Rattus norvegicus: one gene and its partners. The protein of the gene in region 1 purifies or fractionates together with the protein of each later gene. This does not show direct contact. Links are inferred from orthologs where the notes say so. Each region holds a gene or a part of one and is shown in the gene's direction. Other genes may lie near its edges.

Region 1 (4,950 bases):
CAGTTCAGAAGGCTCACAACACCCTGGAACTCCAGCTTTGAGGTAGCCATTTTGGGCATTGACACACATGTTGCATAACTCACACAGACACACAAACATAAAATCTTAAAAAAAAAAAATTAAGGTATAGCGAAAAGTGCCCTAAAAGTCTAAAGGTAAATTGATGGTTACTATGGAAGCGCCTCACAAAACTAAGGAAGACTGAGGAGAGGTCTGAGCAGACAAGGTACTTGCCGCCTCCATATGAGAATCCGACCTTGGATGCCCAGATCCCACGTAAAACTGAGCAAGTGTAGTCCTGTGTGCGTTCCATGACTTGGGAGGCAGAGTAGGGACTCTCCAGCCTATGCTGCCTAGAGACACTAGCCAGCTAGTTGACAAGCTCTTGGAGTCAATAAAATGTAGTGCAATCAAGAAAGACACCCATTGTCATCATCAGGCCCACACACAAACTCTCATACCTGAAGCCAGAAGAGTGAAACTTAACATGGCGTGGCAGTCCCACCATAGCTGTCTATGGGAAGGGGATGAAGTCAGCATAATCACGTCATGAATAGACCACCTATGCAAATGTTTGAGGTAGTACTCACCATGACCAGACTGTGTTACTGTAACCAAAACAACATGCAGGGAAAGGGTTATTTTGGCTAATGTTTTCAGTGGGTTCAGTCCACGGAACATGGATTGATGTGTTTGAGCAGGACAAGTATATCATGGGAGACAGCTTCATGGCAAAAAGACTGTATATGTTCCTAAGGACATGCCTTGAGAGATCTGCTTGCTCCAATAAAGCCCCATGTCTTAAAGGCTTCACAATCTCCCAATAATGCAGTAGCCATAGACCAAGCCTTTTCAACGTACTTTCGTACGTTGGGGACATTTATATTCAAATAAAAACAATCTTAGTCTGAGACGAGCCGTTTCTGAAATCTAATAACATGTTAGCTGTAGTAATAATACAGTTGCCAAGAGTCTTAAGTGCCCACCCCACGAAGCAAGGATAATTATGCAGTTATGTGTTAATGAAATTGGTTACCAGTGTACATTATCTGATCATATGGACTTCTTACAAGTTATGTGTTAATGAAATCGGTTACCAGTGTACATTATCAGATCATATGGACTTCTTACAAATGCATAGTAAAGCTGGGCGAGAAATAGTAAAGGAAAATAACAAATCAACAAACAACACTTTTCATTATGTGGTGATCTGAACGGGAATGGCCCCTATAGACTCCTGTGTTTAAATGCTCGGCCCACAGGGAGTGGCACTATTAGGAGGTGTGGCCGATGTCACTATGTGGGCAGGCTTAGAGGTTTCTTGTACGCCAGCTAGACCTAGTGTGGCAGTGTCCTTTTGCTGCCTGTAGATGAAGATGTAGATCTCGGCTCCTTCTCCAGCACCGTGTCTGCCTGAGCGCTGCCATGCTTCCCACCATGATGACAATGGACTGGAACTCGGAAGCCAGCTCCAATGTTTCCTTTAGAAGAGCTGCCGTGGTCATGTTGTCTCTTCACAGCAGTGAAACCCTAAGACTCATTATAAAAGTTATATATCCATATCAGGAAAATTCTTTGAAGATAAAGCACAGAGTACCAAAATACAAAAACACAGCATTTCCCTGCTCTGTCTCCCAGCGTCCAGCCCATAGCAGCGTCACAAATGTGGCCTCCCAGTACTGCGTGCCATGTATCCAAGTACATTACAAGCAAGGGGTCGTTAGAGGTTGGGGCTCCAGAGGCTGCACTACATAAGAAGAGGTTTGGTGGACTGACGCTTACACTCACTGTTCTCTGTTTTCAGGGGCTATGGGCGAACCTACTTCAGCTGTACTTCTGCCCACACCAGCACAGGGGACGGCACAGCCATGGTCACTCGGGCTGGTTTACCTTGCCAGGACTTAGAATTTGTTCAGTTCCACCCCACAGGTAGGACAGAGCCTGTGTGGCTCTGGGCTCTTCTGTGTATTGTAAGCATGCAACACCTATTAATTGCTTTGGGGTTCACGTCTCCCTCCTTGAGTCCTCACGGAGGGCTTTCTCCTGGGTCCATAGAGGCAGTTCATGATAGATTCTGGGTTCAGGGTTTAGGTACTTGTGGTAAGCGGGATGTGAAGTTTGAACAGAGCAGACTGCAGCTGATGCCAAAGTTAGGGTTTGGATTTGGAAGAGAAAGAGCTAGTTGTGGGAGAAATTAGCTCTTCCTGTCAGAGGAAAGAGATGAGCAAAGATAGAATAAAAAGTGAGTTAGTTGTCTGTCTTCAATTTCTGTCTGGTGTCCCCAAGCCTCTGGATTGCCCCTCATGTGCTGTGATTAGCACTCCATTTTTTATGCTTTCTTTTCAACTTATAAGAAATAAACAACCTAACAGATGTTACTGAAGCTGTGAAAAGTGAAAAGCACTTTTAGAGCATGTAACCTTTTGGGCATATAAAAGGAAAGTTAGCGTTAAATAACCCTTAATTAGCGTCTTCCCTTAAAACTCAGTGTGTGGCATTCCTTGTTTTTCCTCACACTGAAGGACACAAAATTATATTAAGAACCTTCATCGTGCTCCTCTGGTTTGAATGTGGGCTTTGCCCTTTAATAGCTCTGTGACTTAAATGAGTTACTTTTTTTTTTTTTTTTTTGCCTCTGAGGAGAGACTTCTTAGTACCTGGGGCCATCATAGACCTGAAATGAGTGAATTTTTAGACTTGATACAAACATAAATATTAACCACTAAAATAATTTTCGCTCTTTGGGTACTTAAGATAGAAATTCCCTAGGCTGTCTTATTCCTGCTTAAATTTGTTGCCACATTTCTTGGTATAAAGATATATTTAAAGAAACTAAGTCTACTAAGCATAGATGATGTTTAATCAGAGTATGGGTTAGATCCTGTGAATGAGCTGCTGTTGGTGGATCTCTTGTGCTTTCTAGTTTGTCTCTGCTGCTTCGAACACACATTCCTCCTCCTACTTGACTTTTCTTCTTATTTTGAATTTAACATTCTTTGTGTTTCCTTTCCTTTTCTCCCAAAAAGTCACTTCTAAAAAAGGATTAACCGTTTGGAGTGGTTGCCTAGTCCTCATTCATTCATAAACATTTAGTCACCTGGGTTCTTACAGGTATCTATGGTGCTGGCTGCCTCATCACAGAAGGGTGCCGTGGAGAGGGAGGCATTCTCATCAACAGCCAAGGCGAAAGGTTCATGGAGAGATATGCCCCTGTTGCCAAGGACCTAGCATCAAGAGATGTTGTGTCTCGATCCATGACTCTCGAGATCCGTGAAGGAAGGTTTGTAATTCCCCTCCAGGGATGCGGGAGTTGTAGGCAGGTGGATAAACGTGTCCTCTTTCTCTTTGGAAGCCATTAGGTCACAGCTATATATTTTAGTACTTTAACTTTTGCAGACAGGTACCCTACCCTCAGGGTTAAGGTTAGAGAATAAAGCTACTCCATTATTTTGACAAGCATGTTAGTTTATGGTATATCCTGTCTTCTTCACATCAGCTTGTAAACATATCCTCGTGTATTCTTGGTGTGAGGGTGAGACTCACAGCCTTAGGAGTCACCACAGGCGTCTCGGCAGGTGCTCTTCAGGGCTTGTGTGTCACTTCTCTTTCAGTAAAATTGCCTCAGGTTCCTAGTGCCTGGCTTTACTCTAGGGACTTAATATGGGTTTGACACTTTAATTTAAAACTTCGAAGTCTGAAACTTTCTAGTACATTTACCAAGGAAAACAGGAAATCATGATACCCAAGGCAAGGATGTAAGATTGGTGAGTATAGGCTTCTAATTTTTGGCTTGTCCTTGTACAGAAGTATCCCTGACACACTATGATTAAAAAATACTTGAAGGAAAAAAGGTATCAATGGGACACTGACCATAGATGAAGGTGAAGTTTCCCTCAAGATCAAGATTGTCAGGCTCACCTAGTGGCTGTCCAGCTTCCTTCCTGTCACTGCTTCACGCTCAGTGTTGCTTTGCAGAGGCTGTGGCCCTGAGAAGGATCACGTCTACCTGCAGTTGCACCATCTGCCCCCTGAGCAGCTGGCCACGCGTCTGCCTGGGATCTCAGAGACGGCCATGATCTTCGCCGGCGTGGATGTCACCAAGGAGCCCATTCCAGTCCTTCCCACTGTGCATTACAACATGGGCGGGATTCCCACTAACTACAAGGGACAGGTGATAGTGACGAGGCTACTTCACAAAAATCCCTTTAGAGCTTAGATGCATAGAAACAACAACGCAGTGTATTTGATAGTTTAATATTAATTATAAAATGTCATACCTGCCAGGCAGTGAGAGGCTAGGTTATGTTCTTGAATGTGCATCTGCTTGGGAATAACAGGTAGAATGTTATTTCCCCTCTACCTGTAATCCTGTGCACTGTTTCCATTTTACCTGTAATCCTGTGCACTGTTTCCATTTTACCTGTAATCCTGTGCACTGTTTCCATTTTACCTGTAATCCTGTGCACTGTTTCCATTTTACCTGTAATCCTGTGCACTGTTTCCATTTTACCTGTAATCCTGTGCACTGTTTCCATTTTACCTGTAATCCTGTGCACTGTTTCCATTTTACCTGTAATCCTGTGCACTGTTTCCATTTTACCTGTAATCCTGTGCACTCTTTCCATTTTACCTGTAATCCCGTGCACTCTTTCCATTTTACCTGTAATCCTGTGCACTGTTTCCATTTTACCTGTAATCCTGTGCACTCTTTCCATTTTACCTGTAATCGTGTGCACTCTTTCCATTTTACAGGTGCCTGTCTATATTATTTAGTACTTTTACAGTGAACTTACAAATTAGTGATCTATATATACAGTTGGCGCTTGGGTTATACGCAGTTCACAGTGCTTATCAGCTGGTCCTTCTAGTTTGGACACCTGATGATGACAGGTGATCCTGTTTTCCTCATCCCTTTAGTGTTCCATCACCTGCCACATTCCTTAGTTAAAT
Region 2 (4,950 bases), on another chromosome or scaffold:
TCTGTGTGCTTCTTTATAATAACCTCTTTTCAAAGGGGCCTCTTCTTTCCTCCTTTTGTTTACCTCTACAGAATGTGTTTGCTTTTTGTCTTACGCCACTGACCCAGAGGCTTGCTCTCCTACTGAGGCGCATGTACCCCAGCCCTTAGTTGGGCTTTTCAGTCCGGCTTCTTGTAGTGCAGTATCTCTGCACATGCACTGGCTGCTATCCCGTGCGGTGGTCAGAACTCACTTATCAGTTGCCACCTTGTTCGAAGCCAGGGATCGGCTGCTGATGGTTCATGTTGATGGCAGAAGCAAGAGTCACAGGCGGGACAAGGCTGTGTTCTAAGAAGGAGCCGTGACTGAGCTGTGACTGTGGGAGGACAGGTTCATGAGAGAGACAGGAGTCCAGCAGGGAGAGCAGCAAATGCACTTTGCAGCTTCAGCCTCAGCATGGGCTGGCTGATCACTTTCTGACCCCAGGCCTTCCATTTGTGCGGTCTTGTTATCGCTCCCCATAGTAAAACCTTTGCGGATCTCTGACCTTCATCCTCTGCCTGATTGACTGTGAGCAGCAATGGCAGTGACTTCTAACTGAAGTGGCCAACCACTCAGACAGCTCAGCATGAATTACCGGAGTTATTATTTTTAAAGCGTTCGTCCCTTTGTTTGAATATTTAGAGTGCGCATGCGTGGGAGTGTAGCTGAGTGAGTGGACTCGCTGCTGGGTGTTTTTCTCAGTCAGTCCCCATCTTACTTGAGACAGTTCTCTCAGAGAGCCTGGAGATCACCGATTCAGAGAGGCTGGCCAGCAGCTGCACTCCAGGCGCTTCCTGTCTTTCCTTCCCCAGCATGGGACAGCAAGCTTGTGCTGCCCTCTTACATGGTTTATGTGGGTGCTAGGGATCCGAACTCAGGTCCTTATGCTTACAAGCAAGCACTTTAACCACTAAGCCACCTCCCTCCCAGCTCTTTTTCCTCTGGTCCTTAAAACAATCCAGACTGTTGTTTCAAATAGTAAACTGAGTCCCAGAGGCAGAACAGAAAACTATGGCAGCCTAATAGAAGATGATTTAGTTCTCTAATTTCAATAAAGACGACACACAAACGCGAGGTCAGCCGTGGTCTGGGATGTGTGCGGGGTTGTTGTTTGGTGGTGGTGGTTGTTGTCGTGTGGTTGTTTTTTGTTTTTTGTTTTTTTAACATATTTGGTTTGGACCATCCCTTCCCCCCAGATAGGGAAAGGGAGCTCTTGCTTGCTAGAGACCCCATTTATCACTAGGTGACTCTCACCCCACTTCCCTGCCAGGCCTGTAGACAGGTTTGAGTTTATAATTGTGGTCTAAAAGGTCAGAAGCAGAGTGTTTATTCTTTCTTTGCATGAGCCGAGAAACAAATATTCCCAAACCCCTTTTCCCCCTAGGAGATTTTTTCATTTTGCCAATACTTTATAAAAAAATATTGCTTGCTTTTAGTTTTAATTCATTTCCTTCCTTCTTGGCCATCCCTGTCAATATATAGAGCAACTACTCAGAACACTGTTAGTTTCCAGGAATACGGTTATTAAAGTCAGCCTTTGTGTCTTGTCTGTAAACCCTTTCCATACCCAGTCCCATCATCTCCCTCTGACATCTCACAGCTCACAGTCAGATCCTCTGCTACATGGGAGCATCATGACACAGTAAAAGTCACACCACCTCCTGGATTTCTTTAGCACCTTCTAGCACTCTCAGAAGGCAAGGGAACAAGAGCCTGGCTTCCTCCATATGTGTGCCTGCCTGTCAGGTGCCTACACAGATGGGATGTGTTTGACTGTCCTCAGGAAACAAGCTTCCTTAATTATTTGGAAGTTTCTCATTGCCTTTATTTTGAAAGTTGATTTAGGAGCTCTTTTAGTAGTCATGTGTAAGTTCTATCCTGTTATTGCTTTTTATTCCTGCCCCTTTAAAGAAGAGATGAAGAAAGGAAAGGATTTCAAACAACTACTGTCTGGATTTTTCTTTTTCAGATGCAAAGGAAATTGTTTTAAAAGCCCAGATCTTAGCTGGAGGAAGAGGAAAAGGTGTCTTCGATAGCGGTTTGAAAGGAGGTGTTCATTTAACAAAAGAGTAAGTCTGAATGGTTTAGGTCCATATCCTGATCGTGACTGAAAGGATTCTTGAGCAGGAGGTCTAGGGCTGGGGCCAGTGTGCGATACAGAGAGGAAATGGAGACTCTGGCAGGGCTGTGGCCTTGCCCCAGGCCTTCTGTCCCTCATTAGAGGGTTTTGTATCCTGCACTGAGTAGGGCTATACTTCCTCTCTCCCAGACAATCTGTGATTCATCCTAAAAGCGGGAAATAACACGGCTTGCAACTGGAATAATGTTCCCTTCATCTCATTTCCATAAGTACTATTCTGTGGTTCCTGTGACCAGTGGAGTCTTTGTGGCGTCTGGGCTGATAGTTTACGCCTGCCTGTGTCTGAGCATCTTTCCAGCATCTGCCCCACACCAAGCCTTTCCTTTCTTCCATCACTGTCTTCTCATTGATTGTGGTCCATGTTTTCCCTCTCATTGTTTACTGTTTCCCAGATCATCCATTATCAGTTTCGATCTAAGTCGGTTATGCACCAGTATTGTCTCTTTACACATTTGTTTGGGGGTGGGGGGGGGTAGTAGAGTTCAGCATCCCTTCACTCATTCACTCATTCCTTCATCTGCATTTGGCTTTCAGTGTGCCTTCAGGAAGCACTAGACAATTAGAATGTAAAAGGAAAGATATGCAGTCTGTGGGTAGTGGGGCGATGCGGGCTAGGGTGGGTGTGAGGAGGTGGGGTGGCTCAGGTAATCCTGGCCAGTGTGGATATAAGGAGGTGTGGGTGTAAGGAGGTGGGGTGGCGAAGGTGACCCTTGATACTGTGAACCCTGCTATATAGTGATTTGCAATATGTCCTAATTGTTTTTTCTTTGTCATCCCCTCTTTTTTGTCCCTCTTAGCCCTAAAGTGGTGGGACAGCTGGCTCAGCAGATGATTGGTTATAATCTAGCAACAAAACAAACTCCAAAAGAAGGTGTGAAAGTTAACAAGGTAATGTTCTTAGACATTTCGTATGCACTTAAAACGAAAGAAGAGAGAGGTAGACTTGCTCTGACAGGCTCTCCTGAAACACTGTTCTTTGACTACACTGGTTTTGTTTAGGGAGTGCTGTGTCTTGGAAGAAAGACCCTAAGGACTGTGGACATTGGCCATTCACCAGAACCCAGTGAGGTGAATGACCAGGCAGCAGTTTTCCATTCATAGCACAGATGCATCCTGCTTGAAGCTGACAGGGCTTGACAGGGTAGCCTTGCACTCTGTCAGCCTCTCCCTTTTCCCACGTAGGCCCACCTCAGTCCTTTTGATTAGAACTGCCTGTACAGTGGTTTTTCTTAAAAATACCTCATGCTATACTTTAAAGCCACTTACTGCTACAAGTGGATGATTAGTAAAGACTACTAGTAGTAAGCGTGTATGGCATGTGCACCCATGTACATGCATGCATTGGCATGTAGACATACATATGAAGAGGAAGTAAAGCTCAGAGAAAATGGCCTGCCTCTGCTGTGCCACTATGAATGTAGGAGCCAAGTCTGCCTTCCCCTCCCTCCTGTTTCAGCCTTTTGTTCTTCTCTTCATGTGCCAATCAACTGAAGCCCTTTGTTGTGTATGCTGCAGTGCAAAATGAAAACCACGCAGAGGCTCATGTACACAGTGCAAGCTGTGAGCTCCCGAGCAGAGCCCCATGTGTGTCACATGTGGCAGCCCTGAAGACAATATGGCTGGAAAGCGAATCCTAACAGTAAATTGGGCCCCACTTTTTGGCCCTGCTCTGTTGCCATAGCATCAGAGACTTGCAGCCTCTGTCACTCTGCTCTGCTTAGGGGTAACTGAGTGGAACATTCTATTTTTAGTTTTCATAGAACTTTAGAAAGTTCTGGATAAGGCCTTAGAAAGCTTGTGCTTATTAAATCATGGTAGAGTCAATCTTAGCCAAAATAGGGACACTGGAAAACAGAAGATATCCTGAGGAGACATTTGAGTCTTCCTCTGAGCCTCTCAGGCTAGTGAGACAGCACACACTAAGAACTTGGACTCTCCTAAGGAATGTCGGGAAAGGGGAAAGGCTGTAGCCTGCTGTCTCCCAGGAAGGTTTCACACAATCCAGAGAAAACCTGCTAAAACACCCTCAGAAGTGCTTTCATATCATAGCTACTCACACTTCTTGCTCTAAACTCATGTCAGGATCCAAAAGATGGGCTTGGTGTGTGTGTGTGTGTGTGTGTGTGTGTGTGTGTGTGAGAGAGAGAGAGAGAGAGAGAGAGAGAGACACAGAGACAGAGACAGAGGCAGAGAGAGAGAGAGACAGAGACACAGAGACAGAGACAGAGAGAGACACAGAGACAGAGGCAGAGGCAGAGAGAGACACAGAGACAGAGGCAGAGGCAGAGGCAGAGAGAGACACAGAGACAGAGGCAGAGGCAGAGAGAGACACAGAGACAGAGACAGAGACAGAGAGAGACACAGAGACAGAGGCAGAGGCAGAGGCAGAGAGAGACACAGAGACAGAGACAGAGAGAGACAGAGACACAGAGACAGAGACAGAGAGAGACAGAGACACAGAGACAGAGACAGAGAGAGACACAGAGACAGAGAGAGACACAGAGACAGAGACAGAGAGAGACACAGACGCAGAGGCAGAGGCAGAGGCAGAGAGAGACACAGAGGCAGAGGCAGAGGCAGAGGCAGAGGCAGAGACTGGATCTCTTGGGTCCTCTTCCCAGTATGGCACATTAATGACCGTCCTCTGCTTCTCACTGTTGTTTGTTTAATTGGCCTGTTGCGTCTCCCTGCTGAGCGGAACTTGTTAGGACAGCCAGTGCCCAGGATCATCAGAACACAGCTCCAGTAACAGCAGAGCCTTGGGAGTCTGCTAGGTCATCAGCTTCATC
Region 3 (5,536 bases), about 190 Mb from region 1:
GATATGGAGACAAAGTTTGGAGCAGAGACTGAAGGAATGGCCATTCAGAGCCTGCCCCACCTGGGGATCCAGTCCATATACATACAGCCACCAACCCAGACAATATTGCTGATGCCAAGAAGTGCATGCTGACAGGAGCCTGATATAGCTGTCTCCTGAGAAGCTCTGCCAGAACATGACAAATACAGAGGAGGATCCTCATAGCCAACCACTGAACTGAGATATGGAGGAATTAGAGGAAGGATTGAAGGAGCTTGCACCCCATAAGAACATTAACAACCAATCAGAATTCCCAGGGACTAAATCACTACCCAAAGAGTCCACATTCCCAGTGTAGGGGAATGTCAGGGAGGCGGGAAGGGGTGGGTGGGTGAGGGAACACCCTCACAGAAGAAGGGAGAAGGGGGATGGGATAGGTGGTTTATGGACAGGAAACTGGGAAAGGGGATAACATTTGAAATGTAAATTTAAAAAATCCAACAAAAAATATAACTAAAATTTAAAAAAGATAAAAGTTTTAAATAGAAACTTTTCGTTGAGCTTTGACCTCAAGATCAAAGAACTCAACCTCATAGATTACTTTTTAAGGTGACATTTAAAATGTAAAAACACAAATTCAAACTAGGATGACCAAATCTTTGACTTGCCTTTAAACTAGTTTTATCCAATGGTTTTTACCTTCCTTCCCATCCATACCAAAATGCCCACAGAATTCTCAGTCAAGCGATTTAAAAAGATTGAAAACACCTGGAGTGGAGCTAGAACTCCCATCTTTAACGCAGTTGATATACCGTCTTTCAAAGTTATCTCTCGTACTGTCTATACCATTGGGAGGGGACAAGAAGGGGGAGGGACTAACATGCTGGAGCCGCAAGCTGAAAGAACTGCAAAGTAACAAGTATCAAAATTATCCCCGCAATACTGCAACAAATGTAATTTTCATTTTTAATTATGGTTACTCATCCAACTTTGGAATGACTTGGGGAAACAATTCCACAGGCTGATTCACCATTCTATTACACTTGGGTTTTTATTTGCTCTTAAAGCAAACCCTTTAAAATTGAAGCCTGGAGGTTCAAATTAACATAAAGAGGAATGGTCAGTCGTCTTCAAAGTCTCCGCTAGGGGGAAACGCTTCGATACTAAAAGGAATTATTTTGTGGTGAGAGAGAAACCACTGTCAGTAGATTTGACCGAAGAAAACCCAAAACTGCTGCTAATTCCTCTCACCTGATTGAACTCTTCATCAGCGTATATATCAATCAAATCCACTCCTTCTGACATGGCTCCGGAAACACGCTCTCGAGCCCGGAGAACGGACAAAGTAAGAAAGATGCCACTACGGTATTCAGAAAAGGGTAAAAAATTTTAAGACACAAGGGTCCCAGGCTGGGAGGAGGGCAAGGGTCAACAACCTCTAGTCTCCCGAGAGGCAGCATCCCGGCAGCCCCGAGCCTGGCCCCACCCGCTCCGCCCCGCCCCCAGCCTCGCGCCGCCCCCTGCTCTCCCAGGCCGCTCGGGCTCGCGGGGCTCGCTGCCCATCACCCGCGGGCCCGACCGGAGATGCGCCGAGTCGGCGCCCGTAGCTGCCTATGGCGCCACTGCCAAGTCCAGGCAGGCCTCGACTCTTGAGAGGGCCCTCGGGCCGCGCTGTGAAGAACCACTGCGACCAACGCCGCAAGCTCAGCCCGTCGCACCTGCTAGACCCAGGGGGCGTCCCAAGCCGGAGCCCCCTGCGGGCCCGGAAGCTCCCGCCGCCTCCACTCCAACCCGGCCCGGTCCTCGCTCTCGGCTAGGCCTGCCCTGCTCCCTCCCACAGCTCCAGGATCTCAGCCCCTCCCTCAGAGGCCCGCGCTTCCCTCCACCCGCCGTCTTCCGCCGCCGCCACCCCAACCGACCCCCTCCCCTCCGCGGCGCCAGCCCCGGCCCTCCTTCCGGCCCCGCCGGCCCCCGGCCGCGCGCCCCCGTTACCGGGAATATGGCGGCGGCCGCGGAGAGTCCCGACTAGGCCCGAAGCGCGCGAACCGCTCTCCGCCCCAGGTCCCGCCCCCCCTACCGGCGGCGTCACACGCACCACTACTTCCGCCATACGCTGGGACGCGCCTTCCGGCTTGGGGTCCACCTCCACGGGTGAAGTCCTTAGATCGGCCGCCCGGAGTTCCCGGAAGAGGGTCGGTTGCTAGCTTCCTGTACTATAGGGAGAAATGGCGGTGGTCACCTTGATCCCGACGCTGGCGCGGGTGAGAGAGCCGAAGATTTAGGGTTCGGGGCGGGCGGCAGCTAGGACTGTTTCGTCCTCCTCTGTGCCGTGAAGACTGTAGGGAGAATTCACCCATCCCACAGAACCAGGGAAAGGTCCCCTCAAGGCGAGGCGCATACTGCCGCTGAGCATGCAGGTCATTTTCCATTGGTTACTTAGCCCACGGTGTGTTCGAGTGAGAATACTGGATACTATGTAGTTAAGTGGCCAGTTACCATACGAGACTCAAGGCATATCTCACTTATGTCTCCAGGAAGAGTTACCGAACCTCCCCCGAAAGCCTCCTTTTTTTTTTTTTTTTTTTTTTTTTTTTTTGGTTCTTTTTTTCGGAGCTGGGGACCGAACCCAGGGTCTTGCGCTTCCTAGGTAAGCGCTCTACCACTGAGCTAAATCCCCAACCCCCGTCTCCCTTTTTTAAAAGCCGGTTTTAATTTGTTACTCAGGCTGGCCTGAAGCTCGCCATTCTGTCTCATCCTGATCTTAAATGTCTGTATGTTTGAGAATTTTCAGGTTTTATTCCAGTAGTGTTGAAAGCTAGTTGATATGGTTTATCTTAAACTTATCGACATGTGAGCTCCTGGGCATATTCATCCGTACATTTGAGAGGAATGTATGCTCTCTTGTGTGGAATGTCTGTATACCTCAGCTAGATATACTTAAATTAGTATTGTTCTGGTTGTCTAATATTGATTCCCCCATCTGGATGTTCTATTCCTTATTAAATTGTGGCATTAAAATCTTTGTTTTCACCCCCTTCAGTTCTGTCAGGGTCTCTTTCATATATTTGAGTGCTCTATTAGGTCCACATGTATTTATGATTTTCATTCTTTCTTGCTAACTCTTTAATATATATAATATTCTTTATCTCATATGACAATTTTGTTGTTGGTGCTAAATGCCAAACCCAGAGCCTTGCATGCTAGGCAATTTCATTTTCTTTCTTTATTCATTTTTTTTAAGTTTAAAAAATATGTATTTATGTTTATGTGCCTTTGTGAGTTATGCCCGTGTGTGTAGGTGGCCATGAAGGCCAGATGAGGGTGTTGGGTTTTCTGGAATTGGAGTTACAGGTGGTTTTAAGTGTGTGTGTACAGGTACCACTGAAGCTAAAGAGGGTGCTAGGTGCCCTAGAGTGGGGGAGGGGGATAGGAAGAGTGGGGGCTGGCCTTGTATAGTTTCAGAGGCTTTCTGAAGCCTTTAAGTTGTTTGCTTCCTGAGCTTAAGGAGCATTCCTGTAGGACGGAATATATTTATTACCGTTCTTTAGAGCATCCTATGTATTGGCTGGGTATAGTAGAATAAGGCAGGAGGGTCTCTGAGTTCAAGACCAGCCTGATCTAGATGTCAAGTTCTAGGTCAGCTAGGGCTTTATAAGAAGGAGGAGGAGGAGGAGAGGAAAAAGGAAGAGGAGGGGGAGAAAAAAAAAGAGGAGGGGGAGGAGGAGGATTTTATCTTGGAGGAAATTGCTACACAACACCTATCATGAATGAAAGCCCTGGGTTTGATCTCTAGCATCACATACCACAGAATGTATGGCATGCGTGCCTATAATTCTAGCACTCTGATGTTGGTGGCGGGAGGATGGGAAGTTTAAGGTCATCCTTGGTTCTTTAGCTGGTTCAGGGCCTGCCCATATGCTAGTATGATCAGAAGGGAGCTTGAGACCAGAGAATCCCTGGAAGTTCATAGGCCAGCTAGGCTGGCACACACAACAAGAACAACAAAGAGACTGTCTCAAAGCAAGGTGGAAAGCAAGAACTGGCACCTGAGGTGTTCCTCTCACCTCTCCACATGCACCTATCTTGCACACATAAAGATGTTGTAAAAGTACATTTTCAAGTGCCTTTTCTTAGAGATGCTGGTCCAGAATGCTTAGGCTGTGTGTGGCTTAGGAGACTGCATTTTTACAGCATACTGTATTCATTTACTGGAGCTGCCTTACAATAGAAATTTATATTCTCAAAGTTATGGAGGCCAGAATTCCAGGACAAAGATGCTAGCACCGTTTTCTCTGGTGGTCTCACTCCATGACTTGCAGATAGCCACTTTTCCATTGTGCCCTCATGTGGCTTTATTTGTACCTTCACATTTCTGACTTACTAGACAATTTATGTCTTAGTCAGTCTGGACTTCTTAGGTTTGTGATACTGTTTTTTTTGGGGGGGCTTCTTGAATTTGAATGTCCACTTCTTTTTTCCCAATTTTGGATGTTTCAGTCATTATTTTGTTTGTCTAAAAAGACAGTGCATGCATATGTGTCTGTCTGTGTTCTGGGGATAGAACTTGGCTCCCTAGGCTTGGCAGCAAGCCCCTTTACCTTCCTCTATCAGTTCATAATCAATAACTCCCTAGTGCCAATGTGATGCTACAGTTTCTTTGTAAACACTCGGGTTGTTCAGTGTTGCCTCCCTCCTTCCTGCTCCCCTGTTTATCAGGTACTGTAGCCCCTCAGCTTCATAGTAGTCCTGCTCTTGCCTCACAAGTGCTTGGATTACAGGCATGAGGCACCATGCCCCAGCTGGTTGCTCTGCTTTCTTATTCTTGGTGGCTATCTGGACTTCTTAGAATATGCTGGCTGTGTTAGTGTTGCAAGTTGTTCAAAATAGAAACCAGCCAGTCCCTTGGGCAATGCCAGCCCCCATGTTCCAGAACATTAACCATACAGTTGACTCTTTCTTGAACCATGGGGAAGAGGCTCCTAAACAATACTAGATTTTATCTTACTTTGTCTGCCTTGGTCCTTTGCATCAAAACTAAACACTCCCTTGGTCTCCATGGTCCCTAGGCATCTGGAATGTGCCATGGCCTGTTGTTGCTCTGAGACGAGAGAGATAAAAACCGTAGGCAACCTTTGAGAAGCTGGAGCTTTAGATGGATACCCCAGCTCTGTATCTCCAGGGAAAAGCTGGGAGTTGTGGGATTTTTGTTTTGGTTTTTTCATTCTTCAGTAAGGCAGGATGGGGACCATGGCAAGTGAATGATGTGGTACAAATCATCACCTTTGTTCGCTACAGCTACAGAAACGTGCCCTTTCCTGTAGCACTTAGATTCAGCCAGAGCAGAAGCTGTTTGAATGATATTCCAGGAGTCTTACCTTTCCCTCTCAGGTAGAGGCCTGGTGCTGGGGCTTTCTCCCATCATCTTGTTCTTTGGGGATTTGGGGGAAGACAGGGCTGTGGCATGTGCAGTCCATAGCCTTTCTTATTGGCTTCAGCGCAGCTGGTTTTGAGCTAATCTGGGGAGCAGGAGCCTGTTGTCCAGACTTCTCACGAGGGA

The links.
Region 2: the proteins of Sdha (region 1) and Suclg2 fractionate together in Homo sapiens (co-fractionation; 3 studies listed by BioGRID, with this or other methods). This does not show direct contact. The link is inferred for Rattus norvegicus from reciprocal best matches to the Homo sapiens genes SDHA and SUCLG2.
Region 3: the proteins of Sdha (region 1) and Sdhaf2 purify together in Homo sapiens (co-immunoprecipitation; 3 studies listed by BioGRID and IntAct, counting the BioPlex papers as one, with this or other methods). This does not show direct contact. The link is inferred for Rattus norvegicus from reciprocal best matches to the Homo sapiens genes SDHA and SDHAF2.

Annotation. Positions count from the first base shown.
Region 1 is NC_086019.1:30,777,631-30,782,580, forward strand, and holds part of Sdha (succinate dehydrogenase [ubiquinone] flavoprotein subunit, mitochondrial precursor), read left to right. Parts: intron 1-1,804; coding exon 1,805-1,929; intron 1,930-3,111; coding exon 3,112-3,280; intron 3,281-3,975; coding exon 3,976-4,171; intron 4,172-4,950. UniProt on the Homo sapiens protein: Flavoprotein (FP) subunit of succinate dehydrogenase (SDH) that is involved in complex II of the mitochondrial electron transport chain and is responsible for transferring electrons from succinate to ubiquinone (coenzyme Q).
Region 2 is NC_086022.1:129,774,925-129,779,874, reverse strand, and holds part of Suclg2 (succinate--CoA ligase [GDP-forming] subunit beta, mitochondrial), read left to right. Parts: intron 1-1,990; coding exon 1,991-2,090; intron 2,091-2,958; coding exon 2,959-3,049; intron 3,050-4,950. UniProt on the Homo sapiens protein: GTP-specific succinyl-CoA synthetase functions in the citric acid cycle (TCA), coupling the hydrolysis of succinyl-CoA to the synthesis of GTP and thus represents the only step of substrate-level phosphorylation in the TCA.
Region 3 is NC_086019.1:216,589,287-216,594,822, reverse strand, and holds the start of Sdhaf2 (succinate dehydrogenase assembly factor 2, mitochondrial precursor), read left to right. Parts: upstream 1-2,154; 5' UTR 2,155-2,204; coding exon 2,205-2,240; exon of another isoform or gene 2,241-2,390; coding exon of another isoform or gene 2,391-2,396; intron 2,397-2,475; exon of another isoform or gene 2,476-2,626; intron 2,627-5,536. Other genes in the region: Cpsf7 (cleavage and polyadenylation specificity factor subunit 7), read right to left, coding at 1,231-1,284.